Stegostoma tigrinum: one gene and its partners. The protein of the gene in region 1 purifies or fractionates together with the protein of each later gene. This does not show direct contact. Links are inferred from orthologs where the notes say so. Each region holds a gene or a part of one and is shown in the gene's direction. Other genes may lie near its edges.

The links.
Region 2: the proteins of (E3-independent) E2 ubiquitin-conjugating enzyme UBE2O (region 1) and epb41l5 purify together in Homo sapiens (affinity purification with mass spectrometry; 3 studies listed by BioGRID and IntAct, counting the BioPlex papers as one, with this or other methods). This does not show direct contact. The link is inferred for Stegostoma tigrinum from reciprocal best matches to the Homo sapiens genes UBE2O and EPB41L5.
Region 3: the proteins of (E3-independent) E2 ubiquitin-conjugating enzyme UBE2O (region 1) and nap1l4b purify together in Homo sapiens (affinity purification with mass spectrometry; 3 studies listed by BioGRID, with this or other methods). This does not show direct contact. The link is inferred for Stegostoma tigrinum from reciprocal best matches to the Homo sapiens genes UBE2O and NAP1L4.
Region 4: the proteins of (E3-independent) E2 ubiquitin-conjugating enzyme UBE2O (region 1) and recql4 purify together in Homo sapiens (affinity purification with mass spectrometry; 3 studies listed by BioGRID, with this or other methods). This does not show direct contact. The link is inferred for Stegostoma tigrinum from reciprocal best matches to the Homo sapiens genes UBE2O and RECQL4.

What each region holds. Positions count from the first base shown.
Region 1 is NC_081375.1:2,583,992-2,590,845, reverse strand, and holds the start of (E3-independent) E2 ubiquitin-conjugating enzyme UBE2O, read left to right. Parts: upstream 1-3,847; 5' UTR 3,848-3,864; coding exon 3,865-4,350; intron 4,351-6,854. UniProt on the Homo sapiens protein: E2/E3 hybrid ubiquitin-protein ligase that displays both E2 and E3 ligase activities and mediates monoubiquitination of target proteins. Negatively regulates TRAF6-mediated NF-kappa-B activation independently of its E2 activity.
Region 2 is NC_081360.1:89,538,509-89,546,485, reverse strand, and holds the start of epb41l5 (band 4.1-like protein 5), read left to right. Parts: upstream 1-4,968; 5' UTR 4,969-5,163; coding exon 5,164-5,343; intron 5,344-7,977. UniProt on the Homo sapiens protein: Plays a role in the formation and organization of tight junctions during the establishment of polarity in epithelial cells.
Region 3 is NC_081370.1:8,636,545-8,643,818, forward strand, and holds the start of nap1l4b (nucleosome assembly protein 1-like 4b), read left to right. Parts: upstream 1-4,264; 5' UTR 4,265-4,365; exon of another isoform or gene 4,366-4,371; intron 4,372-4,406; exon of another isoform or gene 4,407-4,524; intron 4,525-7,274. UniProt on the Homo sapiens protein: Acts as a histone chaperone in nucleosome assembly.
Region 4 is NC_081355.1:155,526,267-155,533,145, forward strand, and holds the start of recql4 (ATP-dependent DNA helicase Q4), read left to right. Parts: upstream 1-3,874; 5' UTR 3,875-3,904; coding exon 3,905-4,078; intron 4,079-6,487; coding exon 6,488-6,521; intron 6,522-6,879. UniProt on the Homo sapiens protein: An ATP-dependent DNA helicase which unwinds dsDNA with a 3'-overhang in a 3'-5' direction. Does not unwind more than 18 bp of dsDNA. May modulate chromosome segregation. The N-terminal domain (residues 1-54) binds DNA Y-shaped DNA better than ss- or dsDNA.

The sequences.
Region 1 (6,854 bases):
AACCAAGGTCCTGTACAGCTCTAATACAAACTCCCTGCTCTTATAATCCATTCATAAAGGCTAATATCTTATATGACTTCTTAACTACCCTACCAAGCTGTTCTGCTGCGTTCAGAAATCTATGGACAAAGTCAGACATCACACAACACCAGGTCATAGTCTCTTCGGTCCGCTTCCCCCTCTATCCCTATTTATTCCAGAACCCTCACCCCATCCCCCTCTCTGATGAAGGGTCTAGGCCTGAAACATCAGCTTTTGTGCTCCTGAGATGCTGCTTGGCCTGCTGTGTTCATCCAGCTTCACACTTTATTAACCAGGTTATAGTCCAACTGGTTTATTTGAAATCACAAGCTTTTAGACCATTGCTCCTTTAGACCATTGCAGTGAGAGAGAAACACACAGTCACAGAGTTTATAGGCATAGAGATCAAAAGATCAACTAACTGGTGTGACTGGAGTGTCAGATGATAAATCTCTGCAGGTGACCAAGACTGTTAGACCGTGAGTAAAGTGTGAACAGCTGAATAACCAGCGATTAGGATGACCTATAATCTGATTAAATGAGGCAGAGAGATAATCACAAAAAGTTAAAAATAAGGTGGTGCTGGAGGCAAACTAAATGACGGGAATAACATGATAGATACATGCCGAGGCTTTACTCGAAGTAACAACTAATTCAAAACTGTACAAACTACTTAAGGCAGAGAGATCATACCAATTTATCAAGATGATGGTGTCAAAACAGGACAGTGAGGAAGATTTTACAGATACAGAACAGTGCGGTGGGATCACATGTAGTGAAACAGAAAGCCAAGATCACAGTTGAGGCTGCCTTCATTGGTATGGAACTTGGCTGTCAGTTTCTGCTTGGTGATTCTGCATTGTTGTGTATCTCAAAGTCCACCTTGGAGGACACTTATCTGAAGATCGGAGACTGAATGTCTTTGACCGTTGGTGTTCTCCAACTGGGAGGGAACATTTCTTTCTGGTCATTGTTGTGCAGTGTCCAAATATCGATTTTTGTAACTTCTGTGTGGTTGCACCAAAATACCATGCCTCAGGGCATCCTTGCCTGCTGCGTAAGGGATAGACAACATTGGGCGAGTCACATGAGTATCTGCCATGTACATCGTGGGTGGTGTTCCCATGTGTGATGGTAGTGTCCATGTTGATGATCTGACATGTCTTGCAGAGGTTGCCATGACAGGATTGTGTGGCATTATGGTCAATGTTGACCTGAAGGCTGAGTAGTTTGCTGCGAATAGTGGTCTGTTTAAGGTTTGGTGGTTTTTTTGAAGGTGAGAAATGGAGGCGTAGAGAGATGCTCATCGCCACTGATGACATGCTGAAGGCTGCAAAGAATATGGTGCAATTTCTCTGCTCTGGGCAAGTACTGAATCTGCTCAGATTAGGAGGAATGCGATGGACACCTAAAGGTTTTGAATGATGCCCTCATAAGGACGGGATACAATGCTCAGCTCATCAATCACCAGTTCTGATGTGCCACCACAGAAAATCGCAAAGACCTCTCCATAAGATGGACACAGGATATGACCTATAGGATACCCTTTGTTGTCCAGTACTTTGTCAGAGTGGAGAAACTATGCCGTGTTATTCACAGCCTTCAACCTGTCATTGATGATGAGTATTGTGCCAGGATGAATGGTTGAATGGACACTGCTCAACAATCACCAGATAGGGGTGGTCCCTCCCAGTGGGGGAATACTTCAGCAGTCAACGGCATTCAGCTTCTGATCTTCAGGCAGGCATCCTTCAAGGTGGACTTTGAGATACACAACAACGCAGAAACACCGAGCAGAGATTGATAGCCAAGTTCTATATCCATGAAGATGGCTTCAACCGTAATCTTGGGTTCATGTTGTCCTACAAGTGACCCCACCACACTGTTTTGTATCTGTAAAATCTTCCCCACTGTCCTAGCACCCCCTTGATAAATTGTTATGATCTCTGTCCCATTATTAGTTTGTACAGTTTTGTATTACTTATTAGTTTGGTTGGACCCTCCCCATGTGACTCTTATACCTATCATGTTAGTTGTAATTTATTTTGCCTCTAGCACCACCTTATTTCTAATTTTCTCATAACTATCTCTGCCTCACTTAATTGGATTATGGTTATCAGATTAGATTACCTACAGTGTGGAAACAGGACCTTTGGCCCATCAAGTCCGCACCGCCTGTTGAAGCATCCCACCCAGACCCATCCCCCTATAACCCACACACCCCTGAACACTACGGGCATATTAGCATAGCCGATCCACCTACCCTGCACATCTTTGGACTGTGGGAGGAAACCGGAGCACCCGGAGGAAACCCATGCAGCTACAGGGAGAGTGTGCAAACTCCACACAGATAGTCACCCAAGGCAGGAATTGAACCCAGCTCCCTGGCGCTGTGAGGCTGCAGTGCTAACCACTGAGCCACCATGCCACCCACAAGTGTCAGCTGTTGACACTTTATCCACTGTGTAATACTCTTGGTCACCTGCAGAGATTTATCATCTGACACTCTACTCACACCAGTTGTTTGATCTTTTGATCTCTCTGCCTATAAGCTCTGTTCTGTGTGTTCCTCTCTCACTGCACCTGGCATAGGAGCCATGCTTTGAAAGGTTGTGATTTCAAGTAAACATGTGTGACATTGACTTTGTCCAACACCAACATCTCCACATTCAGAAATCTGAGGACAAGCATCCCTAGATCCATCTGTTTTTTGATCTTCCTAGTGTCCTGCCATTCATTGAGTACTGAGACAGTAGGAACTGCCGATGCTGGAGAATCTGAGATAGCAAGGTGTAGAGCTGGATGAACACAGCAGGCCAAGCAGCATCAGAGGAGCAGGAAAACTGATGTTTCAGGTCTAGACCCTTCTTCAGGAAATGAGTACTCCTCTGTTTTGTTACTTCCTCCAATGTGCATCACTGCACACATCCGTGTTTAACTCTATCTGCCACTGCTCTGCCCACCTGACAAATCAGATTATATCAAATTATATCTTCCTGTAACCTAACAATTTTTCCCTCAATGTCAACCACCTGGCCAATCTTTAAAATCCAACGCTGCAATGCTGAAAACATTACATTTATCCCCACGTCCAAATTATTGATATAAATTGTGAGCAGTCGAGTGTGAAGCACTGATTCTCCTGTACCCTAGTCACTTGCCTGCCAACTTGAAAGTGACGCATTGATTTGTGTTTGACCATTAGCCAGTTCTCAATCCATGCCAATAAATCCCTTAATGATATCCGCAATGGTAATGTCGCTACGTCTGCACTTGAAGGCTTGGGCTCAAGTTCCACGTGCCTGGAGCTGCGTCTAATTCTGTCCGAACATTAAAAGATAATGTTTCTATCCTCCCAGTCCCACCTGTTGTAATTTTGTTTCCTCATCTCTGAGACCTGACGAAGAGATTTCCGAAAATCTCAGCATTCCACATCCTGATCCTTCACCCCGATCAGTTTCCCCGGCCATGGGCACACCCATCAATAGGCGGGGCTAGCAAGGAGGGCGGAGCTATCTCAGGATTAACAAGGAGGGCAAGGCCAGCCGGCAGAAATAGGCGGGGCTAGTTGGGAAGGCGGTGTTAATAGTGGGCGGGGATGGGTAAATAGGGCGGGGCTAATGGGGACAGTGGGACAAACGGGGCGGGGATGTGCCGTAAAGGGTGGGGCTACACAAGAGGGTGGGTAACAAAACACTGCCCCGCCCCGTAGGATTGTCCCGCCCCAGGAAGCGACCAATCAAAGTCGCAACCATGGTGTCCCGCCCCCAGCGTGCTATGACGTAAGGTTACGCTACGTAAATACGTCACCACGTTGCCGGGCGGCTTCTCCCAGCGGCGGCGATGGAGGCGGATGCGGATTTGGGTATCGGCGGTAGCCCAGCACCCGGTGATCCGGGGCTAGGCGATAGTCTGCCGTGTGAGGCATCTGGGCCGCAGGACAGCCCGACACCCGGGGAACCCGGTCCCGGTAGCATTGTGGTACCCGGCCCTGGTGGCAGAGGAACACCTGGGGATCCGAGGCCCCTGCTCACGGCCACTGGAGAGCCGAGGCCTGCCGTCCCAGGTTCTCCATCCTCTGCACCATCTCCCGCGCAGTCCCCGGCCCCAGGCAGCCAACGGCTCCTGTTTGTGGATGACCTTGTGTCTGGCACCTACAAGGGGGCCTTGAGGCACGGCATTGTCGGTTTAATTCATGGCGAGGTCAGTAGCGGTGAGAGCTCGGACACGGACGAGGAGGGCGCCGGCCGGGAGCGACCCCTTAAGAAAGGTTATGTCCGGGTGCAGTGGTATCCCGAGGGTGGCAAGCAGGACGTGAAGGAAATCAGGGTGAGATTGGCATGATGCTGAGAGGGGGCTGCTGGGGTTTCGGTGAAACACTGAAAGAATGTTTTCTGTTGAACTAAAATGTAGAACTAAGGCATAGTAGGAACTCTGGGCAACAGTATTTCTTTTAAAATGGGATAAAGGAACATTTTGTTTGTGAGGGTTGAATGCCTGTAATTCCCTTCCTGAAAAGGCAGCGGATGCACCATTTTTAAAAGGCAGAGGTGGATAGGTTTTTGATTACGAAGGGATACGCAGAAACGTGGGGTTGAGGTTAAAATCAGATCAGCCGTGATTTGGAAGAGCTGAATGACTGTGTGTAGTTCCATGTTCCTGTGGTCTTTGACATGTATGTTGGTGTATATATGATTCAGCTGTGCTGAATACCCTTCTGCCTGTGCATTGAAATCCTAATTTTTTTTTCCTTTTTTAAAAAAAAATCTCCCAGGCTAGACAGGGTCCACTTTGTTCAGGTTTGAATGAGACCATGTTCTCTGCCTCCTGCCCAATTTTGTAAAGTGATCATCACTGAGAAGAATTCACAACTTCCCCTGACAAAGGGTTTTGGCCCAAAACGTTGACTTTCCTGCTTGGATGACCTGTGTTTTTTCAGCTTCACACCTATAGAGTTTTACACTTTTCTGGCGGTTGCTGTTGTGCACCAGTTCTGTTGATTTTCCATTCATGAAATGTACGTGTACAATGATGTGCAGAAACCTTGGTGGATGGTGAGTTACCATTGACCAGAAACTTATCTGATCTGTTCACATGTGTTCTATGGCTGAATGAAGTTTAAGACCGAGTGTTGTGTAGTAATTAGACTAACTTCTGAATCCTGAAGCTTGACAACCAGTTGTAAATAGAAGCCAGGAGTGACACTATTCTGTTATGGCATACTAATGATGCTGTAAGTTCAACACTGTCTAGGGCAAAGCAGTCTGCTTGATTAAAGGCCATCAACCATCTTAAACAACTGCTCCCTTCACCATGGGTGTGGTGTGACTGCAGTTTCTCCTAAGTATAAGATTTACTGCAGCAATTGTGTAAGATATATTTTAAAATTGGCTTTCTCCATGGGACAGCAGTGTCATTGGGATGTTTTACCATGATAGGTAAAAGAACCTAAACTGAGTTCATTAATTTGTGACTCAAACTACTGTATTGTTGTAAAAGCTGATCTGCCTCTTGGAGCTTGAAACCTGCTCTGACCTGCTCTGACCTGGTCTGGCCTGTGATTTCAGGGTCAGCGATGTGGTTGACTCTTAACTGCTGTATGGCTTAGCAATGCACTCAGCTATGTAAAACCAAAATTACAATGTTGATCAATCTCCCCATCTTCAATGGAATTTAAGAATGTGCAACAAATGTTGATCTCGCCAGTGACACCCACCACGTTCCAAGAACAATTAAACTCGCCACTACTGTAGAAACCTGAAATCAGCAATTGTTTGGGAGAACCATAACTTCTCTGTCCAGCTCACTGTTCCAGGAGCTGAGCACCTGGAATTTCCCAGTGTTCTGCCTTTCAGTTGCTCCTATTGGCATCATCCTCCAGATCAGCTTTTACAACAATACAGTAGTATTCACTCAGAGCCAAAACTCCTGGAGTCCATGAGCTTTTAGTGGATGATTGAGTTTGGCTTTGAGACAATATTTTGTGTTATCATGTCTTTGATCTTATTCCTTCAACAAAGTCTCCTCAAGCCTCACTCTATAAAAATTGTCCTCTTGTTTTCATTACCTTCACCTCCAGCAACAAGTCCAAGGAAGTTGTGGTATTTTTTCTGTCACTAAGATTGAGACTATCTGATCGGCAATGTCTGTTGGATTCCTCCCTACCTGTACCATCCTAGGTCAAACCTCCTTGAAAGCTTATTCCTGCCCTAGTTTTACTCCTTGGGTTCTGTCCCTACCCCCTTTCACATTTTCCCTCACTACCCCTCTTCAAACTGACAGTCGACCACTTTGACCTTGTAAATGCTCCCCCATCCAACATTGTCTAAAGAAGCAATTGAGCAATCTGGGACCTTTTCTCATTGGAGGTTAGAAATATTGATAGGGTAAATACTAAATACATTCTCATTGCATTGGGGATTGTAGAGATAAGGGACACAGGTTCAGAATGAAGCATCTCCAATCTAGGATGAGGGTGAATTCTTCCCTAATTTTGTGAATTTCCATAAAGGGCTGTAGAAACTTTAATCATTGAACGTATTTGGTACTGAGTTGTAGATATCCTAAACCATAAAGGTATCGAGCTTTATAGGGACTAGGTGATCAGTGGAATTGAGACCCGATCAGCTATGGTTTTATAAAGCAAGCTTGAGGGACTGTGTTGATTACTTTCCTGTTTCTTATTCTGGTGTTCTTTCTAGAATCGTTGAATGAGGTTACCATTTTCCAAATTCATATGCAAGTTTCCTAGAACACTACATCTCTCCACTAGATCTCTGCCCACTAATGGTGTTGAGATAGCTGTCTTACACAGAGTTGTGAGAGCATGGAAT
Region 2 (7,977 bases), on another chromosome or scaffold:
GAAATGCAACGCCTATGAAGTGCTATGTTGTCTGACAAAATTATGTTTAAGAAAGTAGAAAATATTTTTGCACTTTTTAACATCATGATCTTGGAGGAGACCACCAAATTGAAGTTATAACTTGGCTATGGACTTGTAGATCACTTTACAAAGTAGACAAGCTGTGAGATCCCAAGAATTTACAAAGAGTGGGATGCCATTAGATTCTTCTGTTGTGAACAAACAACAATAAACTCTTTTTAGTCAATGAACTTAATTATAAAGAGTTAGAAAATTTAAAATAATCTTTAATACCTGTGCAATTATATTTTAATATCCAGAATTAAATTGAGGTAAACATGGGAGACAACTGAAATCAAGTGACTTGCTTGAAGAGTCAAAGGAGGAAATCAGGTGAGAAGGGGGATATGAGATAGCCTTGGCAGATAAGGTTAAAGATAATCCAACGACATTCTACAAGTACATTAAGAGGAAAAGAGCAACGAGGGAGAGAATATGTCCCTTGATGATCAATGAGATTGTCTATGTGTGGAACCTGAGGAGGAATATACTGAATAGAAATACTAAATGAATATTTTGCATCAGTATTTTCTGTGGAAAAAGACATGGAAGCTAGGGAACTTGGGAAGTAACTATCAATGTCTTAAAAAGAGCCTACGTTATAGAAGAAGGGTGCTTGGAGTTCCTAAAAACATGAAAATGGATAAGTCCTGGAGACATAGCCAAGTGTAGCCCAGACACTTAGGAAGCTAGGGAAGAAATTATGGAACCCCTAGCAACGATATTTGTATCATCAACACCCTCAGGTGGAGTGCTGTAAGATGGGAGGGAGGCTAGTGTTTGTGGCTTTATTTAAGAAAGACTGCAAGGAGAAGCCTGAAAACTACAGACTGGTGAGTCTGACATCAATGTTGCATGTGTTGTTGGAGCAGATTCTGAGAGACAGGATTTGCATGCATTTGGAGAGGCAAAGATTGATTAGGGATGGTCAGCATGGCTTTGTGCAACAGAAGTTGTGTCTCTCAAACTTGATTGAGTTTTTTGAGGATGTGGCCAAGAAAATAGATGAGGGCAGAGCAGTAGAAGTTGTCTACATGGACTTTTAGTAAAGTCTTTGGTAAGGTTCCACATGGTAGACTGGTTAGTAAAGTTAAATCGCATGGGACTTAGGAAGAGTTTGTAAACTGGACACAAAATTAGTTTGATGGTTGGAGACAGAGGATTTTGGTAGAGGGTTATTTTTCAAACTGGAGGCCTGTGTTTTCCACAGATCTATTGTTGTTTATCATTTATTTATGTTTGAATAAGAATTTGGGAAACATGTTTAGTAAGTTTGCAGATGACACCAAAATTGATGGAGCAGTGGACAGTAATGAAGGTTACTACAATTACAGAGGGATGTTAATAAATTGGGCCAATGGCGAAGGAGTGGCAGATCAAGTTTTAATTTGGATAAATGTGAGGTGTTGCATTTTGACAAGACGAAAAAGGCACGACTTGTACAGGTAATGGTAGGACCTTGGGGAGTATTGTTAATCAGAGAGACCTGAGGTTCAGATACGTAGTTCTTTGAAAGGGTGGTAAAAAAGGCATTTGGCACACTTGCCTTCATTGCTTACACCAATGAGTAAAGGAGTTGGGATGTCACACTGGAGTTGTACAAGACACTAGTAAGGCCACTTTTGGAGTACTTGTACAGTTCTGGTCACCCTACCAGAGGAAGGATATTTTAAAATTGGAGAGGATGCAGAAAAGATTTACAAGGACTGGAGGGTTAGAGTTATAAAGAGAGGCTGGATAGACTGGGATGTTTTTCATTGGTGGAGAGGTGACTTTTTATAGAGGTTTATAAAATCCTGAGGGACACGGATAAAATGAATAGCAAAGGTCTTTTCCCTAGGGTAAGGGAGCTCAATACTAGATTGCATGCATTTTAAAAAAAAAACTTGGAAAGGTTCAGATGTTTGTGGACAGAGAGGGAAAGAAAACAGTGACACCCACAGGAATAAATACATTGTTTTAAATTTACATCACTCTTCCAGAGATGATAGAATTATGGTAACGTCACTGAATTAGTAATCCATAGGCCAGACTAATGCTCTGGGATTTAGAAGGCAGTAGAATTTTGCAATAAGGCTGGAATATAAAACTAATTTCAGAAAAACTGGCTAGGAAACCATTATCGATTTTCATTAAGAAAGCCTATGTTTAGTTCATAAACAATCTTTTAGCAAGAAAATTTGTCATCTTTACCAAGTCTGGTCGACACTCAATTCAAAGACAATTAGGCTTGGGGCAGCAAATGCTGGCCTTGTAAATGACAGCCACATCCCATGAAAGAGTGATAATAACACATTTTAAAGTCTGACATATCTGCCTCAGCAGTGCCCATTTCTCTCACTGGGGAAGATTGCTGACCATTGTTGCAGGCTTGCTGCTTGGCCTCTCCATCTCGAGAAGCTGCCTGTTTGCCAGTTCAGAGGTGCTCAATCAGGAGGCTGTGTCATATAAATGGCACCGCTATCCACCTTAACACCATAAGACATAGCAGTAGAAATTAGGCCATTCTGCCCCACCAGTCAATCATGACTGATATGTTTCTCAACCCCATTCTCCCACTTTCTCCCTGTAACCTTTGATCCCCTTAACAATCAAGACCCTAACTATTGCTATCTTAAACATACTCAGTAACCTGGCCTCCACAGCCTTCTGTGGCAGTGAATTCCATAGATTCACCACTCTCTGGCTGAAGAAGTTTCTCCTCATCTCCATTCTAAAAGGTCTTCCTTTTACTCTAAGGCTGTGCCCTTGGGTCCAAGTCTGTCCCACCAATGGAAATATCTTCCCAACATCCACTCTGTCCAGGCCATTGAGTATTCTATAAGTTTCAATTAGGTCCCCCCTCATCCTTCTAAACTCCGTTGAGAATAGGCCCAGAGTCCTCAACTATCCCTCATGTTAAGCTTTTCATACATAAGATCGAGGGAAGCGGTGGCATAGTGGGAAATGTTGTTACCCTAGTTATCCAGAAACCCAGGCTAATGTTCTGGGGCACAGGTTTGAGTTCTACCGCAGCAGCTGGTGCAGTTTGAATTCAATAAAATCTGGAATAAAAACCATTGAATCCCTAGTGTGGAGCCAGGCCCTTTGACACATCAAGTCGATCCTGATCCTCTGAACAGCAGCCTATCCAGACCGATCTCCCTATCCAATCCTTGTAGACCTGCATTTCCCATGACTAATCCATCTAACCCACACATCCCCAGGCACAATGGGTAATTTGGCATGGCCAATCCACCTGACCTGCATACCTTTGGACTGTGGAGGAAACCCATGCAAACACTGGAGAACATGCACACAGTCATCCAAAGGTGGAATCAAATGCTTGCACTGCAGGGTAGCAATATTAACCATGGAGCTGCTGTGCTGCTCTGACAAATTGAATGGCAAACACATGACTACTGTCAATTCTTGTAAATACCCTTCTGGTTCACTGGTGTCTATTAGGGAAGGAAATTGGCCATCCTTACCTGGTCTGGCCTATTTCACACCCACAGCAAAGTGGGTGATAATTAGGGATGGGCAATAAATAGCAGTGACACCCACATCCCACGAATAAAGAATGACAAGCAGGGCTAAGGGGCTTGCATATGGCTCCCTGACAAGTCTCCAGCCCCTACAGGACAATTCAATCCCTATGGTGCCTCTGGGGTAATAGCTTTAACCCTGGGGCTTGCGGATCTTTCAAACAGGGCAACCTGACGTTCACCTTAAATGGGCAAGAGCCTCATTAATCAATATGTACTTTTTTTGAAAAAAAATCTGGAAATGTTCAGAGATAATGGGAACTGCAGATGCTGGAGAATCCAAGAAAGCAAAATGTGAGGCTGGATGAACACAGCAGGCCAAGCAGCATCTCAGGAGCACAAAAGCTGACGTTTCCGGCCTAGAGTTCAGACGTTTGTGCGGAGAGAGAGAAAGGAAAACAAATTTAACATTTCTTATCGACGGACGTGTGCAGAGTGGGGATAATAAAAACGGAGACTGTGACAATTAACAGTTTGATCTGAGTTAGGAACCAAAACAGAAGTTGCCGGAAAAGCCTGGCAGTATCTGTGATGAAAAATCAGTGTCAACGTTTCAGGTCCTTGGATTGGAGGATATGGGAGTACGTGGAAGGACTTTTTTTTAAGATGACAGGGTATAGAGCTGACATCAGAAATAATGGGAACTGCAGATGCTGGAGAATCCAAGATAACAAAATGTGGAGCTGGATGAACACATCTGATGAAGGGTCTAGGCCCGAAACGTCAGCTTTTGTGCTCCTGAGATGCTGCTTGGCCTGCTGTGTTCGTCCAGCTCCACACTTTGTTATCCAGGGTATAGAGCTGGATGCACACAGCAGGCCAAGCAACATCGGAGGAGCCGAAAGGCTTACGTTTCGGGCCTGGAGCCTTCTTGCATTTTTTAAGTTAGTTTTCACAAACCATTCCCCCGCCCCCCACTCTGTGTGAGTAAATTAGACTGAGAGACGACAATACACAGCTTACGAACTGATAGGACGCACGGTTGCTGAGTTTTTAAACGAAGGGACAGGCCGCACCATTCGCGGCGCTACTCGGTTTCCAAGCCGTGCCGCACAAAGCCAAAGGTGCTCGAGGGGCACATCCACTCATCAGGATGAAGCAGGAAATCAATGCTGCAGATAACACGCAGACACTCACAAACTAAACCCACAGGCAGGGTTAATTCTGGTTTTTTTTAAAAGGAGTTGAAAACCCACAGTAAGTGTTAAATCTTGAAAACAGGTTCACTCGCGAATCCTGAGCCACCCCCAAAGAGATGGAGGTTGAGGGATTAGGAGCTGAATGGAGATAATTCCAGCCTCCTACTCCCAAAATTAAATTGGGAAGAGGCTGACGCCATTTCCTGGGATGGATTGACGCATGCTCTTTATTGTAGCTGGAAGGATTAGGTTAATTTGAAGAGGAGGTGCTGCATGTGTGTGGTTTGTGTGCAGCACAGGGGCGAGCTGTATCTCGGTTACATTGTGTTTCGGGAATTGTTACTTTTTGAAACAAGAATCGGCGACTTTGCTGCGAGTGATCAGGCGGAGGGTGGGGGGGCGGTGCTGGGGAGTTTGCAGCTGGAGCCGTGGGGAAAATGCTGGGTTTACTGAGGAGGACTCTCGGTCGCCGCACGGTGCGCCGGCACGCTGACCGGGAGAAGCAGAGGGAAGCACAGCGATCAGGGATCCACATCCCCGCGGCCGGAGACTCCAAATCCATCATCACCTGCAGAGTCTCCCTCCTGGACGGCAGTGATGTCAGCGTCGATCTACCGGTAGATCTGATCGTTTTGTTCCCCCCACCCCTCCCTCCTTCATCTCTCACTGTCTTAAGTCAGAAGTCACACGACACCAGGTTATGGTCTAACAGGTTTATTTGAAATCAAATATTTCAAATAAAATTATGTCATTTTATTATTTCGAATAAACCTATGGACCCGATGTCTTGTGACTTCTGACTTTGTCCACCCTAGTCCAGCGCCTCCACACCGTGACTCTTACTGTCTGAGACATGGCACCACTTCCTCACCTGATTTAACCCGTTTACAAACAGTTGGGATGGATTTCACAAACAGTTAGGATGGATTGCACAAACCGGAATTGATGGGAAAAGCTCAGCAGGTCTAGGCATCGTCAGTGCAGAGAAATCAGAGATAATGTTTCGGGTCCAGTGACCCTTCCTCAGAGCCGTTTCATCTCCAGGTTTGCCCACTCGGAATTTAATCCTGGGTTTGAGGGTAGGGGAATTGGAGTGAGAAAGACTAGCCCATCTCATTTAAAAATCGAAAGGACTGTGGATGCTGTAAATCAGGGACAAAAACAGAAGTTGCTGGAAAAGGTCAGCAGCTCTGGCAGAACTTTTCGAGCAACTTCTGTTTTTAAACCCATCTCGTTAAAACTGTTTCCAATATTGCAGGCGTGAAAATGCAAATCTTGCATGGGCTGGTGTAAAGACTCGGGAATATGCGAGATGTTTTTTGTGTGTGTCTGTTTTTTTTCGGGTTATTTTATCAGGATTAGTCATGACCTGGACAGTCTTGTGTCCCCGGGCTGTTTGCTTTTCCAGTTCCGCGATAAACTGGAGGAGGCTGTGGGATTGGCCAAGTGACTTCATGCGGGTGTTTTTATCAGAGGCAAATAGCTACAGTTTCAGCCTCCAGATGCGGGATCTTTACCTTAACTTGCGGCTTTCCCAAGAGGCCTGGGAATCGCTCGGCCCCCTGCCCTTATCAAATGAATCGCCGACCTCGGTGCTGATTCATCGTATCAATTACCGACAGTATCGTGGAGGGAAGGGAATAAGATATCGGAGCAGAATTTTAGGTCATTCGGCCCATCGATCCTGTTACGCCAATTGATCATGGCTAATCTGTTTCACTCAACTGTATTCTCCTGCCTTCTCCCCAGAGCCCTTGATCCCTTCCAATTAAGAACCTATCTTTCTCTCTCTTAAACACACTGAATGATGTAGCTGTCTGCGGCAATCTGTTTCACAGATTCACCAACTTCTGGCTGAAGAAATTCAACTTTATCTCAACTTTAGGGGGTTGTCCCTTAACTTTGAGGCTGTGCCCGCAGGCCCTAGTATCTCTGCTACTGGTGAATACATCTCCACGCCCACTATATTCAGTATTCTCTAAATTTCAAAGAGCTCCACCCTTAACCTTTCTTACTCCGGAGTACAGACCCAGAGTCTCCAACTTCCTGGGTGAACCTCCTCTGGACCCCCTTCAAGGCCAGCAGAGCCTTCCTTAGATACAGGGCATATTACAGATGCTGTCTGACCAGAGCCTTGTATAGCCTCTGCTGTTGTATCCTCACCCTTCTGAAATGAACGCTAACATTCCATTTGTCTTCCTAATTACCATCTGAACCTACATATTAACATGAAGGGAATCCTGAACTAGGACTCCTAAGTTCCTTTGTATTTCAGATTTCTGAAGCCTTTCTCCATTTAGAAAATAGTCCACTTCTGTATTACTTTTCTTCCTACTAAAGTGTATCACCTCGCACTTTCCCACACTGTATTCCATCTGCCACTTCTTTCCCCACTCTCCTAGCCTGTCCAAGTCTTTCTGAAATTCCCCCCTTCCTCAATGCTACATGCTCCTCCACCTATCTTTGTATTATCTGCAAATGTAATAACAATGCATGCAGTTCCATCATCCAGATCGTTAATGTGTAATGTGAATAGTTGTGGCCCCAACACTGAACCCTGCAGCACTCCATTAGTCACCAGCTGCAATCCTGGAAAAGATCTCTTTTCCCTATTCTCTGCCTTCTGCCAGTCAGCCAGTCCTCTATCCATGCTAGTATATTGCCTCCATCACCGTGGGCTCTTATTTCACAGCCTGTTGTGTGCACCTTGTCAAATGTCTCCTGAAAATCAAAACGGATCAAAATTAGCTCTTCTTTGTGAACTTGTTTGTCACCTCCTAAAAGAATTCAAATAGATTTGTCAGGCATGACCTCCCTTTGATGAAACCATGCTGATTCTCCCCATTTTACAATGCACTTCCAAGTACTCCACAATCCTTATCCTTTAATAATGGACTCTAAAATCTTACCAATGTCCAAAGTCAGGCTAACTGGCACTTAGCTTCCTTTCTTTGCCTCCTTCTCTCCTTAAACTGAGATGTTACATCAGCAATTTTCCAGTCCTGTCAGACCCTCCCTCACTCCAGTGATTCCTGAAAGATCACATTGTTAAGTGTGTACAAGAAAATTTTCGTATTTCACATGTAGATGTACTTACTAGAAAGGGATCAAAACTTGATCTACTCTTGGGGAAATAAGGCAGTGCAAGTGTCAGAGGTGTCAATGAGGGAGCACTTTGGGGCAAGTGAGCATAATTCTATTAGTTTTAACATAGCTGTAGGAAAGGATAGACCTGATCTAAACGTTGGAGT
Region 3 (7,274 bases), on another chromosome or scaffold:
CATTAAGTCTACAGAAAGCAGAAGACTGCATGACAGAAGAAAATGGGTAGAGATTAGGAGGGAAGACAAAAATTAGGAAGGCAAAGAGGAATTTATGAAGTTGAAATTATGAAATAAAACAAAATATTTGATAGGTAATAATAAAATAAATGGCCTAGTGGTATTATCGCTGGATTATTAATCCAGAGACCCAGCGGATGTTCTGGGGATTCAGGTCCGAATTCCACCACGGCAGATGGTGGAATTTGAATTCAATAAAAAATATCTGGAATTAAGAATCTACTGATCACCATAAAATCATTGCCGATTGACGCAAAAAGCTCACTCACTAATGTCCTTCAGGGGAGGAAATCTGCCACCCTCACCTGTCTGGCCTACATATGACTCCAAACCCACAGCGTTCGTAGCAATCTTCAGCCAGAAGTGCCACGTGGATGAACCATCTTGGCCTCCTCAAGTGGTCCCCAGCATTACAGATACCAGTCTTCAGCCAATTCGATTCAGTCCACGTGATATCAAGAAATGTTCGGAGACACTGGGTACCGCAAAGGTTGCTGGCCCGGACAATATTCTGGCAATAGTACTGAAGACTTGTGCTCCAGAACTGCCAGTCACCAGCTAAGCTTTCCAGTACAGTTCCAACACGGGCATCTACCCAACAATGTGTAAAATCACCCAGGTATGTCCTGTACACAAAAAGCAGATCAAATCCAACCCAGCCAGTTGCTGCCCCATCAGTTTCCTCTCAATCATCGATAAAGTGATGGAAGGTGTCATCAACAGTGCCATCAAGCAGCACCTGCTCAGAAATAATCCGCTCAGTGACACCCAGTCTGGGTTCCGCCAGGGTCACTCAGCTCCTGATCTTATTACAGCCATGGTTCAAACATGGACAAAAGAGCTGAATTCCGGGGGTGAGGTGAGAGTGACAGCCCTTGATATCAAGGCTGCATTTGACAGAGTGTGGCATCAAGGAACTCTGGCAAAACTGGAATCAATGGGTATCGGAGGCAAACACTCCGGTGGTTGGAGTCATACCTGACACATAGGAAGATGGTCATTGTTGTGGGAGGTCAATCATCCCAGCTCCAGGACATCTCTGCAGGAGTCAAGGTAGTAGCCTAGGCCCAATCATCTTCAGCTGCTTCATCAATGACCTTCTCTCCATCATAAGGTCAGAAGTGGGGATGCTCGCCGATGACTGGACAATTGCACAATGTTCAGCACCATTCATGACTCCTCAGATGCTGAAGCAGTCCATGTTCACATGCAAAAAGATCTGGACAATATCCATGCTTGGGCTGACAAGTGACAAGTGACATTCAAGCCACGCAAATGCCAGACTATGACTATCACCAATAAGAGACAATCTACCACCGTCCCTTGACATTCAATGGTGTTATCATCACTGAATCTCCCACTATGAACATCCAGGGGGTTACCATTGACCAGAAACTCAACTGGACTCACCACATTAACACAGCAGCTACAACAGCTGGCCAGAAGCTGGGAATACTGTGGCGAGTAACTCACCTCCTGACTCGTCAAAGTCTGTTCACCAGCTACAAGGCACAAGTCAGGAGTGCGATGGAATACTCCCCAGTTACCTGGATCAGTGCAGCCCCACAGCACTCAAAAAGCTTGACACCATCCTGGAAACAAAGCAGCCTGCTTGATTGGCACTACATCTACAAGCATCCACTCCCTCCACTAGCGCCACTCATTAGCAGCAGTGCGTACTAACTACAAGATGCACTGCAGAAATTCACCCAAGATCCTCAGACACCACCTTCCAAACCCACGATCAGTTCCACCTAGAAGGACAAAGGCATCAGGCATACAGGAACACCACCACCTCCATGTTCTTTCAATGTCACTGGGTCAAAATCTGGAATAGCCTCCATAATAGCATTGTGGGTCTACCCACAGCAGGGGGATTGCAGCAGTTCAAGAAGGCAGCTCACCACCACCTTCTGAAGGGCAACAATAGAGGGGCAAGAAATGCCAGCCAGCCAACACCACCCACATCCAACAAAAATGAAAGATTAGCATGATAATAGGACCATTGAGAGATTGATAGGAAACAATTACAGGTAATGACTGAAAGATGATAGAAGCATTAAACAATTATTTCTAATAAAAACAAAGTGCTGGAAAAACATAGCAGGTTTGACAGGATCTGCAAAGACAAAAACAGTTAAAAGTTTTGAGTCAAGAAAACAGAAGGCTACTACTGAAAAGACAAAATTAACAAACTAAATCATCTAGATTTACAGCTCAGCTGGGAAAAAAAATCTTAAAACACCCAGCAAACCGAAGTTTCAATTTATTTCCCAAACTCACTACGCTACAGAAGTCCTGAATATAAAATCTTTAAGACTGACAAAACTGAATCCACCAGTGCTCTTGTATACCGTTAAGCCTTCTTACATGAACACTTACAAATCTAAGTTCTTAAATCTTTTCAGTTTATAATAAATTGCAGATTTTTTGACTAAACACTTTGGTCTAAAAGCAGTACAAACTATTATTTTTCTACTGAGGTCAAGAGTGCTTTCCCTGAACTGAACAATATCCCTTTTACAAAGAGAAATGGCCTATGATCTCAATCAAATCTTCAGAAGCATCCTGGATGTCTGCCTTTATCAAACATTGCTCTATTCCTCCCTCTGTCATCCAGACAGCCCTACACTGCGCCTCCTCCATTCCCCACTACACAGCTCTTAACCACTCCACCACCAAACATAATAAAGATAGCGCCAGCTGTCCTCACTTGCCACCCCAACCATCCTCTGCACCCAACGTATCATCCCCAAACTTTTGCCACCTCCAATAAGATCAACCACCTGGAACATCTTTCGCTCCCCACCCCTCTCTGCCTTCCGTGAGGACCATTCCCTTCGCCATTCCTTAGTTCGCGCCACACTCCCCACCAAGCACTCCAATCCGCCCAGTACCTTCCCCTCTAACCATAAAAGATACAACACTTGCCCACACACCACCTCCCTCACCCCCATCCAAGGCATCAAACAGCTCTGCCAGGTCAGATTCCATCTGGTGTTCCCAATGTGCCCTCCTCTACATCAGTGAGACCAACCGTAGACTAGGTGACTGTTTGGCAGAGCACCTTCACCTGGCCTATAATGGCCACTGCCCATTTCAACACACCACCACCACCAGCCGTGCCCTCCTTGCAACATGTCCATCCTCAGCTTCCCCCAGTGTCACATCGAACAAGAACGCAAATTTGAAGAACAACACCTTATCTTCTGCCTGGGCACCCTACAGCCTGTAGGACTCAACATTGAGTCCTCCAAATTCAAATAACATTCCCAGGCATCCCCCAGCTCCCTTTCCAGCCCCTTCCATTCTGCCTACTGACCCTCTCTTCCAGCCATCAACTGCATTCAACCCTCCCATCAACCAACCAGGTCATACCTGCCATCAGTGTCCACCTATCACCACCAATCTGTTAAACACCGCCCCCACCCCTCCATTTATCTGCAGCTCCCCCTCCCCCGATACCCAGTCCTGAAGAAGGGTAATACCCGAAACGTTGGCAGCTCCTTTCCTCCAGATGCTGGCCGACCTGCTGTGTTTGCCCAGCTTCCTGCTTTGCCCTGTTTGAATTAACCAAAAACTTTCAAACTCTGGAATTCCAAAACTTAAAGAAAAAAAACTTTGGATTTTTCTGCGCCAAAACCAAACCAACTGATCTCATTACTTCCATCGTCACTCCAGAAATTCCTCCTCGCTAACAGACACTGGATTAGGACAGTATTCTGCAAGGATTGTCTGATTTATTTTTTAACCCTTCAGAAAAGTAACCAATCCCCCATACACTATCCATTCTAAAACACGGACTCTAAACACTGTAATGCGCAAATCAGAAACCTTTCGTTGCAATGATTAATAAATAAATGAAAACTTTTTTTTGGTTAATCGAGCCCAGTAATAATGAAGGGAGACGCGCCTGAGCGAGTAATTTTCAAATCCTGGAGTCTCCAAGACAAACCTGTACGCTCAGTAACCTAGGGAGGCACATATCCTACATTTACATCGTGTCTTTTCGTGAGCTTTCGATGCCTTCGCACCAAAACCTATTGGGAATGGACGGTGAATCTTGGGCCGTCAGCGTCTCTCCGAAAGCTCTATTTTTAGCCGGCAGGTTAAAATTCGGCCGCCTTTAAGAGCCGACGAATCCGGCACCCGGCGGGCTCGTGCCCTCTAATTGGTCGGCTCTGTGCTCCCTGACGTCAGGCGGGGAGGGGGCGACCAATGGGAAGTGGCCTCTTTGGTGTCCGCCATTAGCGCGCGGTGGTGGCTGTGAGGCGGCCGGGCGGGAGCAACGGTTGCGGAGCGCAGGTACAGGTGAGGGATGGATAGGTGGACGAACGAACGAACGGACGGAAGGATAGATGAATGAATGGTTAGAGGCCCGGGCTGCGGCGAACAGAAAGTGCTGTCTGAGCGGCTTGTTGTAGGCAGAGGGTGAAATCTTCACGTGTTGCAGGGACATACAAGGTGGGAGTTCAGACCACCCCCCAAAAAGCCTTGCACGCCGGATCCGAGATGCGTGTTCTGCTGAATTTGAGGCTTGAAGGTTGAATGTTTACAGCGGCCGCAGTGCGGTGTTTACTCGGCAGGTCATGTTTTTAAGGTAGCAGTAAACAGACACACACACTGTGGAAGTCCACCTAGCTGTCTCTATGGGGAGGGGTGGGCCTCAGACGCCCTGAAGCTTTTAAACCAATTGGGGAGGGGGGGAAGCAATACAAACAGGATATTACTTCTGCCTGCTCCAAATGCGTAAGGTATCGTCTGTCCTTACGTGCCCATCCCCCGCCAACCTTTTACAGCATAAAGTCAGCATCACTTATCCAATCCCAAGAAGAGTCGTATTTGACTTAAAACGTTAACACTGCATTTCTCCACAAATGCTGTCAGACCTGCTGAATTTCTCAGGGCTTTGTGTTAATTTTGAATCTCCAACATTTATAGTGTTTTGCTTTTATTTATTAACATGATACTGTTTTGCCATCTTCAAGTAGTACACAGTTGGGTAATTTGATTATTAAAACTTCCAAATCAGTTCTAAGGTTTGCTTATTTGTGGATCAGTTACGTTCACGTTTAAGTGTGAATTTGCTTAACAAAGAATTAAAGGCTAAAACAAAAATAAAACCTCCTGGAAAAGTTCTATAGATCTGGCAGTGTCTGTAGAGAGAAAGCGATGCTATCACACCTACTCGCCTGTGCCAGTATTTTTAATTTTTTTTCTGATTTACAGCACCTGCAGTTCTTTACTTTTTCAATTACAAATTAAAGGCTGTTGGATAGTAGGCATGTATGGCCACCATTGGTTTTCAGAAGTATTTATTCTGACATCTTAAGTTTTTTTAAAATTACTTTGGGCACTTATGTAATATTCATCTGGAATGCCAGTGGTGCTTGTGCTCCCCAATGAAAATATGAAACAACATTTAAGATCTTTATTTCATTCTGTGTCCTTTGTTCCATACAAATTGGAAAGTTAATATGCAATTATCAATGTCTAGTTATTGGTGATAGTACTTTATTGCTGAATTGTTTCCAAGTCCATCTAATGAACTCATGAGGTGAACATATTACAAAACTCTCCAGATGTGAGTTTGCTTGCTGAGCTGGAAGGTTTGTCTTCAGACGTTTCGTCACCATTCTAGGTAACGTCATCAGTGAGCCTCCGATGAAGCGCTGGTGTTATGCCCCGCTTTCTATTTATCTGCTTAGGTTTCCTTGGGTTGGTGATATCATTTCCTGTTCTTTTTCTCAGAGGATGGTAGATGGGCTCCAAATCAATGTGTTTGTTGATGGAGTTCCAGTTGGAATGCCACGCTTCTAGGAATTCTCGTGCGTGTCTGTTTGGGACAACATATCCATCCTAGGACAAGCAGGACATAACACCAGCGCTTCATCGGAGGCTCACTGATGTTACCTAGAATGGTGACGAAACGTCTGAAAACGAACCTTCCAGCTCAGCGAGCAAACTCGCATCCAGAAACTCAACCTGAGCTACAAATCTTCTCAAAACCCATTTACAAAGCTCTGTTTGTTGAAGGGTGTTACATTTAACAAGGGAATAAAATAAGGCCCAGTTATGTTATTCACCTTGAGTAAATGATTCCATTGTATCATTTGCTGAATAGGAAATTCTGTTTGATCACCTTTTCTCAACTATTCCAACCAAAACAGACCAAATTTTCAAAACCCTTTTAATGTTGGTGTGACATTGTTACACATAATTTGACTGATATATTTGCATGTACTACAGACTGATTATTGGAAGTAACTAACTGATTGAAGTGCTTAGAGATATTCTCAGTATACAAGGTACTGTATAAATGTGAGCTGTTTGTCTGTGGATTTTTTTCTAGATTTGCCAAAGCATTTCTCAACCAATTAATTAATTTTCAGTTGCATTCTGCATTTTCATGCTAAAGTTGCACTCACTGGGAGCAGGGTTCCAAGGAGACATGTGAATAACTAGCTAATGTATCTTTTGGTGGCTTTAGAGAAGAAAGCACAAACTATTTTCTGATAATTCAGTGCCATGAATCTTTTAGAAATATACGCAGGTGAGCCTTGATTTAAAGTAATATGAAGAGTGTCAGCATCAACAAACCTGTGTCCTTCTCTAAGCACTGTGCTAAAGATGTTATTCGTGTACTTTAAAAATTCTGGAGCTGTCGTCCTGAAACTGCAATCCATTGATTCAAATATGTCTAACTATTTCATAAGATTGTGAGAAATGGGAACATTTGACCCTTCAAACCTGCTCCACTGATCCGACATTCCGCATATCCACTTTCCTGCCTTTTCCCTGTGGCCCTTGATTCCCCTACTGATCAAAAATCTATTTATTTGAGCCTTAAATAGCCACAGCATTTCACGTGGAGTTCCAAAGCCACTCAGCCCTCTGAGGGAAGGAATTCCTACTTATCATAGTCTTAAATTGAAGCCCCTTTTATTATGAGGCTATGCCCTCAGGTCCTAGACTCTTCCCATGAGGGGAAACATCCTGTTGGCACTTAGTCTGCCAAATCCTTTAAGAATCCTATGTGTATCAGTGCAATCACTTTTCTGTCTTCTAAACTCAGACTCCCAACCTGTTTAACCTTTGCTTAAAAGCGAGTCCCTCCATACCAGAGATCATTCAGTTTGATAATTTCTGTGCATGTTTTAGTCTGATTTTTATAGTTAAGTAATTTTAAAATCCCATTATGAAGTACAGCATTG
Region 4 (6,879 bases), on another chromosome or scaffold:
CCAAAGGCGGGAAAAGCTCGGTTTCTGGAAGGTTCTCTCGGTACCGGCCGCTCTCGCGGTAAACGCTGCATCATTTACCCGGGGCCACACACCGTCGGCCATTGCTTCCCCCCCTCCCCCACCCCAACCCAACCCAACCCAACCCAGTGTCCGGGGGCGCGCGTCCGGGCATGAAGGCTGCACTCGGTCGGGGGCGCGCCCGGGCGTTAAGTATACAGTCGGGTGTGCGCGCCCGAGCAGTCAGGCTGCTCTCGGCGGCGCGCGTCTGGGCATTAACGCTACACTCGGGGGGGGGGGGCGGGGCGGGGCGGGAGCCTCTCCTCGGGGGCGCGCGGGGGGGGGTGGCCGGGACCCTCTCCTCGGGGGCGCGCGGGGGGGGGGGTGGCCGGGACCCTCTCCTCGGGGGCGCGCGGGGGTTGGCCGGGAGCCTCTCCTCGGGGGCGCGCGGGGGGGGGTGGCCGGGACCCTCTCCTCGGGGGCGCGCGGGGGGAGGTGGCCGGGAGCCTCTCCTCGGGGGCGCGCGGGGGGGGCCGGGAGACTCTCCTCGGGGGCGCGCGGGGGGTGGTGGCCGGGAGACTCTCCTCGGGGGCGCGCGGGGGGTGGTGGCCGGGAGCCTCTCCTCGGGGGCGCGCGGGGGGAGGTGGCCGGGAGCCTCTCCTCGGGGGCGCGCGGGGGGGGGGGGTGGCCGGGAGACTCTCCTCGGGGGCGCGCGGGGGGAGGTGGCCGGGAGCCTCTCCTCGGGGGCGCGCGGGGGGAGGTGGCCGGGAGCCTCTCCTCGGGGGCGCGCGGGGGGGGGGGGTGGCCGGGAGCCTCTCCTCCGGGGGGGGGGGCGTGCGGACACGGGGTTTCTTCCTTCGGTTGGGGGAGGTGTGTGTGTGTGGGGTACGCTGGGTTGCCATGGCGACACCGTTAATGGGAGGGGGAGGGGGAGGGGGCGGGAGTGGGCCCTCGGAGCACCCTGCTCCCCCACTCCCCACCACCCCCTTTCTCATCCCTCCCCGTGCCCTTTGATCCCTTCAACCCTGAGAACTATCTCTGACTCCTTCTTGGGAGACATCCCATGTCCTGGAGAGAATTCCACAGGCTCCCCACCTCCTGGGTGAAGAGACATCTCCACATCTCAGTGTCCCACCACACTACCCTGACTCCGTGTTCCCTGGTTCTGGGCTTCTCCCACCCCCAGCACCAGGACCATCCTTCCTGCCTCGCCGCAGTACATTTCCTAAATTCCACCTGCCACTGCTTTGCCCACTGTCTATATATTCTGTGTGTTGCCCGTTCATTGAAACTTTGAATTTAATGTTCCTTATTTCCTGATTTAAAAACAAAAAACCCTTTAAGAAGTTACAAATGGCAATTATTGACCACTACTGGTTGTATCATTGCCAGTGTTTTCAATGCAACTAAGCCATTAGCTGGGGTTTTTTTAGAGGACAGTTAAAAATTAATAAATTTACAACTGCAAGTTTCTTTCACACAAAAGCAGCAGTAGATATATGGGTTTTTACAGTAATCCAATAACTTTGTACAGATTTGCAGAGTTAAAATTCCAAGCTTTGATACTGGAATTTGAATTTCCATTTGCAAGATTTACATTCATAATCGGAGTGACATAACCACCGCACTATCTAAAATGAGCAGTGTGTGGCACGGTGGCTCGGTGATTAGCACTGCAGCCTCACAGTACCAGGGACCCAGGTTCAATTCCATCCTTGAGCAACTGTCTATGTGGAGTTTGCACATTCTCTCCATGTTTGTGTGGGTTTCATCCGGGTGCTCCGGTTTCCTCCCACAGTCCAAAGATGTGCAGGTTAGGTGGATTGACCATGCTAAATTACCCGTTGTGTCTAGGGATGTTTTGGTTAGGTAGGTTAGACATGGGAAAATGCAGGGTTTTAGGGAAAGGGTAGGGGAATGGGACTGGGTGGGATGCTGTTCGGAGGGACAGTGTGGGCGGGCTTGTTGGACTGAATGGCCAGTTTCCACACTGTAAGGATTCTATGATTCACCATGCCCCACCCAATCCTAAATAAATACAATCCTGAGCGATCCAGTCGGTTCAGTTTATCTTGCTTAAGTTCATTGTGATTTATTGTCTCATTGTATTTATTCCAAATACAGTGTTGTTTCGTGTCACTCCTCCCCAGCACCACCATAAAACACAGAAGTGTAAAGCCCAGAAAATAAAACACTGAAGTTCATCTTAAAAAGTCTTATCTCAAAGTTTCGGTGGTCAGTGGAACAGCTCCTGCTTGCGGCTCAGCCGTGGACCTGGATTCGGGCTCCTCTGCCCCGATACCTTGAATCCCTGTGGCTAAATTGATGACACTTCTCTGTCGCACCGTCGGAACAAACAGGCACCAATCTCCGTCAGCATCTCACCTCGACTAACTCCTTCCCAATTACTCCAAATTCCACGAGAACACTTTTCTCTTTTACCCCTGATTCCTGACCCTGTGGATTCTTATTTTTTTGTCTGTAATTTGTATCCCGTTGTCAGCTTTCTTGCTAGCTTTCTACCTGAAGTGAGTTGTTTCTCAGCAGAATTCAAAAACTCCACTTCTAAGTGCTACTGTTGATCATAAAGATGCCTAGTGGTTGTGGTTAAGTTTTTTTTAGTGTGTTGCTGGCTGGACCAACGTTTGTAGCCGATCTCACGTTGCCTTAAGGAAGGGCGTCGGGGGTGCCACCTATAAATTGTTCAGGGGTGCGTTGGTTGGAATGCTGACTTGCTGAAGTAGTGTCTCTCTCATAAGAAAGCCACCAATGATAATATATACACTTCCAATTTTTCTTTAACTGTTGCAGTCCTTCAGGTGTGGGTACAGCCACACTGCTGTCTGAAAGGGGATCCTGGGATTTTGAGCCAGTGTCTCTGATTACTAGGTCCGGATGCTGAGTGAGTTGCAGGCAGCTGTTTCCCCATCTATCTACTGCCCTTGTCGTTCTGAGTGTTAGATGTTGTTGGTTTGTAGCCACAAATTTGTGTCTCATTTTCAGATCACCTGGTGCTGTTCCTGTGCTCTTCTATTGCCTCTCATGGAAACAAGCTTAGTCCCCCTAGCTTAATGGCAACAACAAAATGAAGCATGTGCTGAATTATGAGGTTGCAGATTGTAGTTGAATATATTACCACTGCTGTTCACTACAGCACCTCATTATCATGAGTTACTGGCCGTGAGTGGGATCACGAGCTCTCAGGGTTGGACCAGTGGCTGTTGTGAAGTTCTGATCAGGTGATTCCAGTCTGCTGGTTCCAAAAATGTCAGTCAAAAAGAGTAGCAAATAATGTTAAGCTTAGCTTCAATACCTCATCCTCCTTGCCCTTGAACCCCTCTCGCCCGGCACACCAACTTCATCTGTAATGAAAAGTAAAAACTGAACCTTTTTGGAAGGAATCTGATGGCAATGGTGTTTTCTGTTGGGAAGGAGAAAACCATGGCTGAAGATTAGGTGTGGCTGGGAATGATTCTGGCTGACTAGCACTCAACTTTGTGGAGCCAGCGAATGCAAAAGGGATTCAGAGTACGGCTGAGAAAGGGGTTTGAATGGATTGAACTGATGTATCAAATATTTGGAGTAGATTAGGAGTAAGGCACCATTCCTAGTGAATGAGAACAAATTAGCAGGAATTCTGGTACTTTTTCTTTTATCTTCCCATCCCTCATCTCCTGCCCTACTTTCTAAGATTGTTGAGGCCAAGTGTGGAGCTGGTAGCATCACCCTAACGCAGATCCCCTAAATCAACAGGGCTTTGAAGTGTATAAGAATTGGCAGCAAGTAGGGCAATACATACACCTAGTTGGATGTGTCAGGACCAAAGGGCTGAAAGTTGTCAAAGACTACTTTGTTTCATCTTTTGGTAAATGAACTAATGTCCGCTTTTTAACTTTCCAAAAATTGCATGCAATCAAATGTTTTATTTTGTCTTTTTTTTTCTCTTGTAGAAACAAATGAAGGATTGAGAGAAACCAGTGTGGACTGCTATTGGGAAATGGATCGATACAATGAGTTAAAACTTGCGCTGAAGAAGTGGGAGACTTCGTTCTTTGAGATAAACAGACGGAAGCCAACAAAGGTAATCTGGAATCTAGAAACTGAGTGTAGAATCCAAAGCATACATGGTTTGAAAACCTATCAGAAAAACTTTAACTGATTCAAATGTCACTGGCTGCACAGCTTCCTGTAAGAGTTAGTTCCTGATAGGTTGCCATCAAAAATAATTTGATACAAAAACAGAATAGCTGAAGAAACTCAGTTGGTCTGGCAGCATCTGTGCAGAGAAAGCAGAGTCAGCACTTTGGGTCCCTTCTTCAAAACTTGCAAAAAATAATCTAAGCTGCCTGTACCTGTTGAAGTATTGAAAAGAATTTGCATTGCCTTTCACAATTCACATTGCCTTGTGACATTGAGCAGTGTTTCGGTCAGTGAACGCAATTTTTAAAAAACTCACTGATCTGCATACTTGGTAAGGGCCTGTAAACAGAATGTAAAAAGAATGACCTTTTAAACATTGTTTTTTTTTCACATAGCTGCACAATAACTACCTTTAAGAGAATTTTTACATTTTTGAAAGTTGTAAATAGCAGATTAATGATGATTGTTGCGAAGTTGGTTAGAGTATTGTGGATTGGAAGGCAGGATGTTAGAATTTGGTGTTTGTAAAATGCCAGGGGAGAAAACCATACATGGTCCCTTTAAAAGACTATGTGTTTTTTCTATACTTAGGGATTTAAACAAAATGTCTGTGGGCAGCAGCTTATGGGTTTGCGGATACACAGAGAGCATCTGAATTGAAATATTTGTATCAAAAGCCTTATAGTTAACAGGCTGAGCAGCTGTTCTGTTTTGTTAGTAAGACAATAAGTTTTGATTTTAGTTAATCAATTTGAACCAGGCACTTAGAGACCAAAAATCATTTAACTTTAAGTCTGATGTTTTTGACAACATAGGTCCAATCCTGTTGCAAGAAATTGCAATACTGTCAAGGGTATAAAAGAGAGGGCAGTTGGCAAAAAAAAATCAGAAAAATTAACTGCCATCCGCCAGAGTTAACAGCTCTCGAGAGAATTGGTAGCTGTCACGGTCTTCTCTTAAGTTTTCGAGAAAGCACCATGTAAACCGAAGGTACCTAGGCACAGCGAGTTAATATTCCTGACAGAACATTCGATGGAGAATGTATAGAGCATTCTAAAAGACAATCTGGCTGTAATTGTGAGAGACTGAAGTCTGTTTAATTTTGTTATGTAAGTGAGACTAGTATTTATTGGAAAGCAGACCATTCAATTCCTGTTTTAATCAGGAATAGCTAGTACATAGAAGGGATTTATTCATTTTGGTAATAGTTTAGCTAATTTGTTCACTGTTAGAAAAATAAATTGTTAATTGTAAAGTGAATGTCAGGGACTTCTTTTATTTAACCACTAGAAGTTGCTGAGAAGCAGGTTATATCACTTCTCACACTCCTTTCTATTAACAAATTATAAGGCAAGGCAAGGTCTGGGTGTTTTTGGTTTTAGTTATTTGGTGAGGTGGGGTCAGCCTCTACTTTATAACATGATGGACTGCATAAATAAAATGTTACATCCTCTAATTCTGCAATAGCTTATATTGAATTTGGAGAAATACCATGCATTCATTTTTTATTCACTGATAGTCTTGGGTCTTTGGGTGTGTGCCAAATTGGAGACACTCTAGTATCCACGTTACCCTCAACCTTTATTATCTGAAAAACTATCAATAATCTTATCCTCACAAATAGGCTACATTGTTTGCTTAATCTCTGTGAATAACCAATGGAATTGGTATAAATTGAACCCTTAAGTCCAGTGAATCCTGCCATGACCTTTTTTCGGCTGAAATTTGATGACTTTTTTTGTCTTGGTTGTGAGTTTTTTGGCAATCAGGATGTTACTATTTTGATGGCTTTCAGATTTGCCCAGTTTTAGAAGAGAAATATTTTTGGACCCAATTGATTTCCCTATAAGCTTAGCCAAATTTTTATCTGTTTTGCTATTACTTCTAACACCAGCACGCTCATGTCTCTTTTGCCCTAAGCCGATCTTGTAACGGATGGTCCATCATGAATGTATTGAATGATGGAGCAGGCTCAACAGGATGAGTGGCCTATTCCCTTTCCCATGTTCTGGCGTGGTACCTTCAGACTCATTGCAAATTTAATTTGGTCTTCCATACTTTTATTTTTTCCCTCTGCTGGTTTTGGCGCATACCTGTGTTGCTGGTCACGCAAATCAATTTGGTCTCATCTAGAAATACACAGACCACTCATGATGTTTTAAAACTTTGACTTGATGGAGGAAATGCATTGTGTGATGGTGCGGATCAAGCTGATGTGGTTTTGTGTGGCTGCTTCACGTAGCCGTTGGTTATAAAGTACAATTTCAAATTATGATCTTTTAATTTTGTGGAATAAAGCTGCTCTGTCTGTCAAAGGAAACTTACTATTCCTTAAAATTTTCCTCTTCAGGTTGATGTGGCTTGTGCTTCAGAGGAGACTCAAAGTAAGTAATGTATGAAAGGAATACGTCTTGTTTCCTTAATTTAGCCAATTTATTGGTCGTGGATGGAGGGGAAAGAATGACTGGTACCCACTTCTAGTCGTACAATTGGGATGCAGGGAAAGTATCCATGCAGCATGTATCATGACATATTCTCCTTTGCAGCTTTTTCTGATTTCTTGTGGTTCTGAAGCCATTCTGATTTTTTGGTTTTTATCATCAAAGGTGAGATTCCTAGTTTATGGATTGTGTTGTTACAGATACATTAACTTGTATGTTTTGCTCGATAAAAATACAAACCTAAGTTTACTGAGCCATGAAGAAGGAAGGAATGGAAGTAGTTTGGGAAAATAGAGAAGGA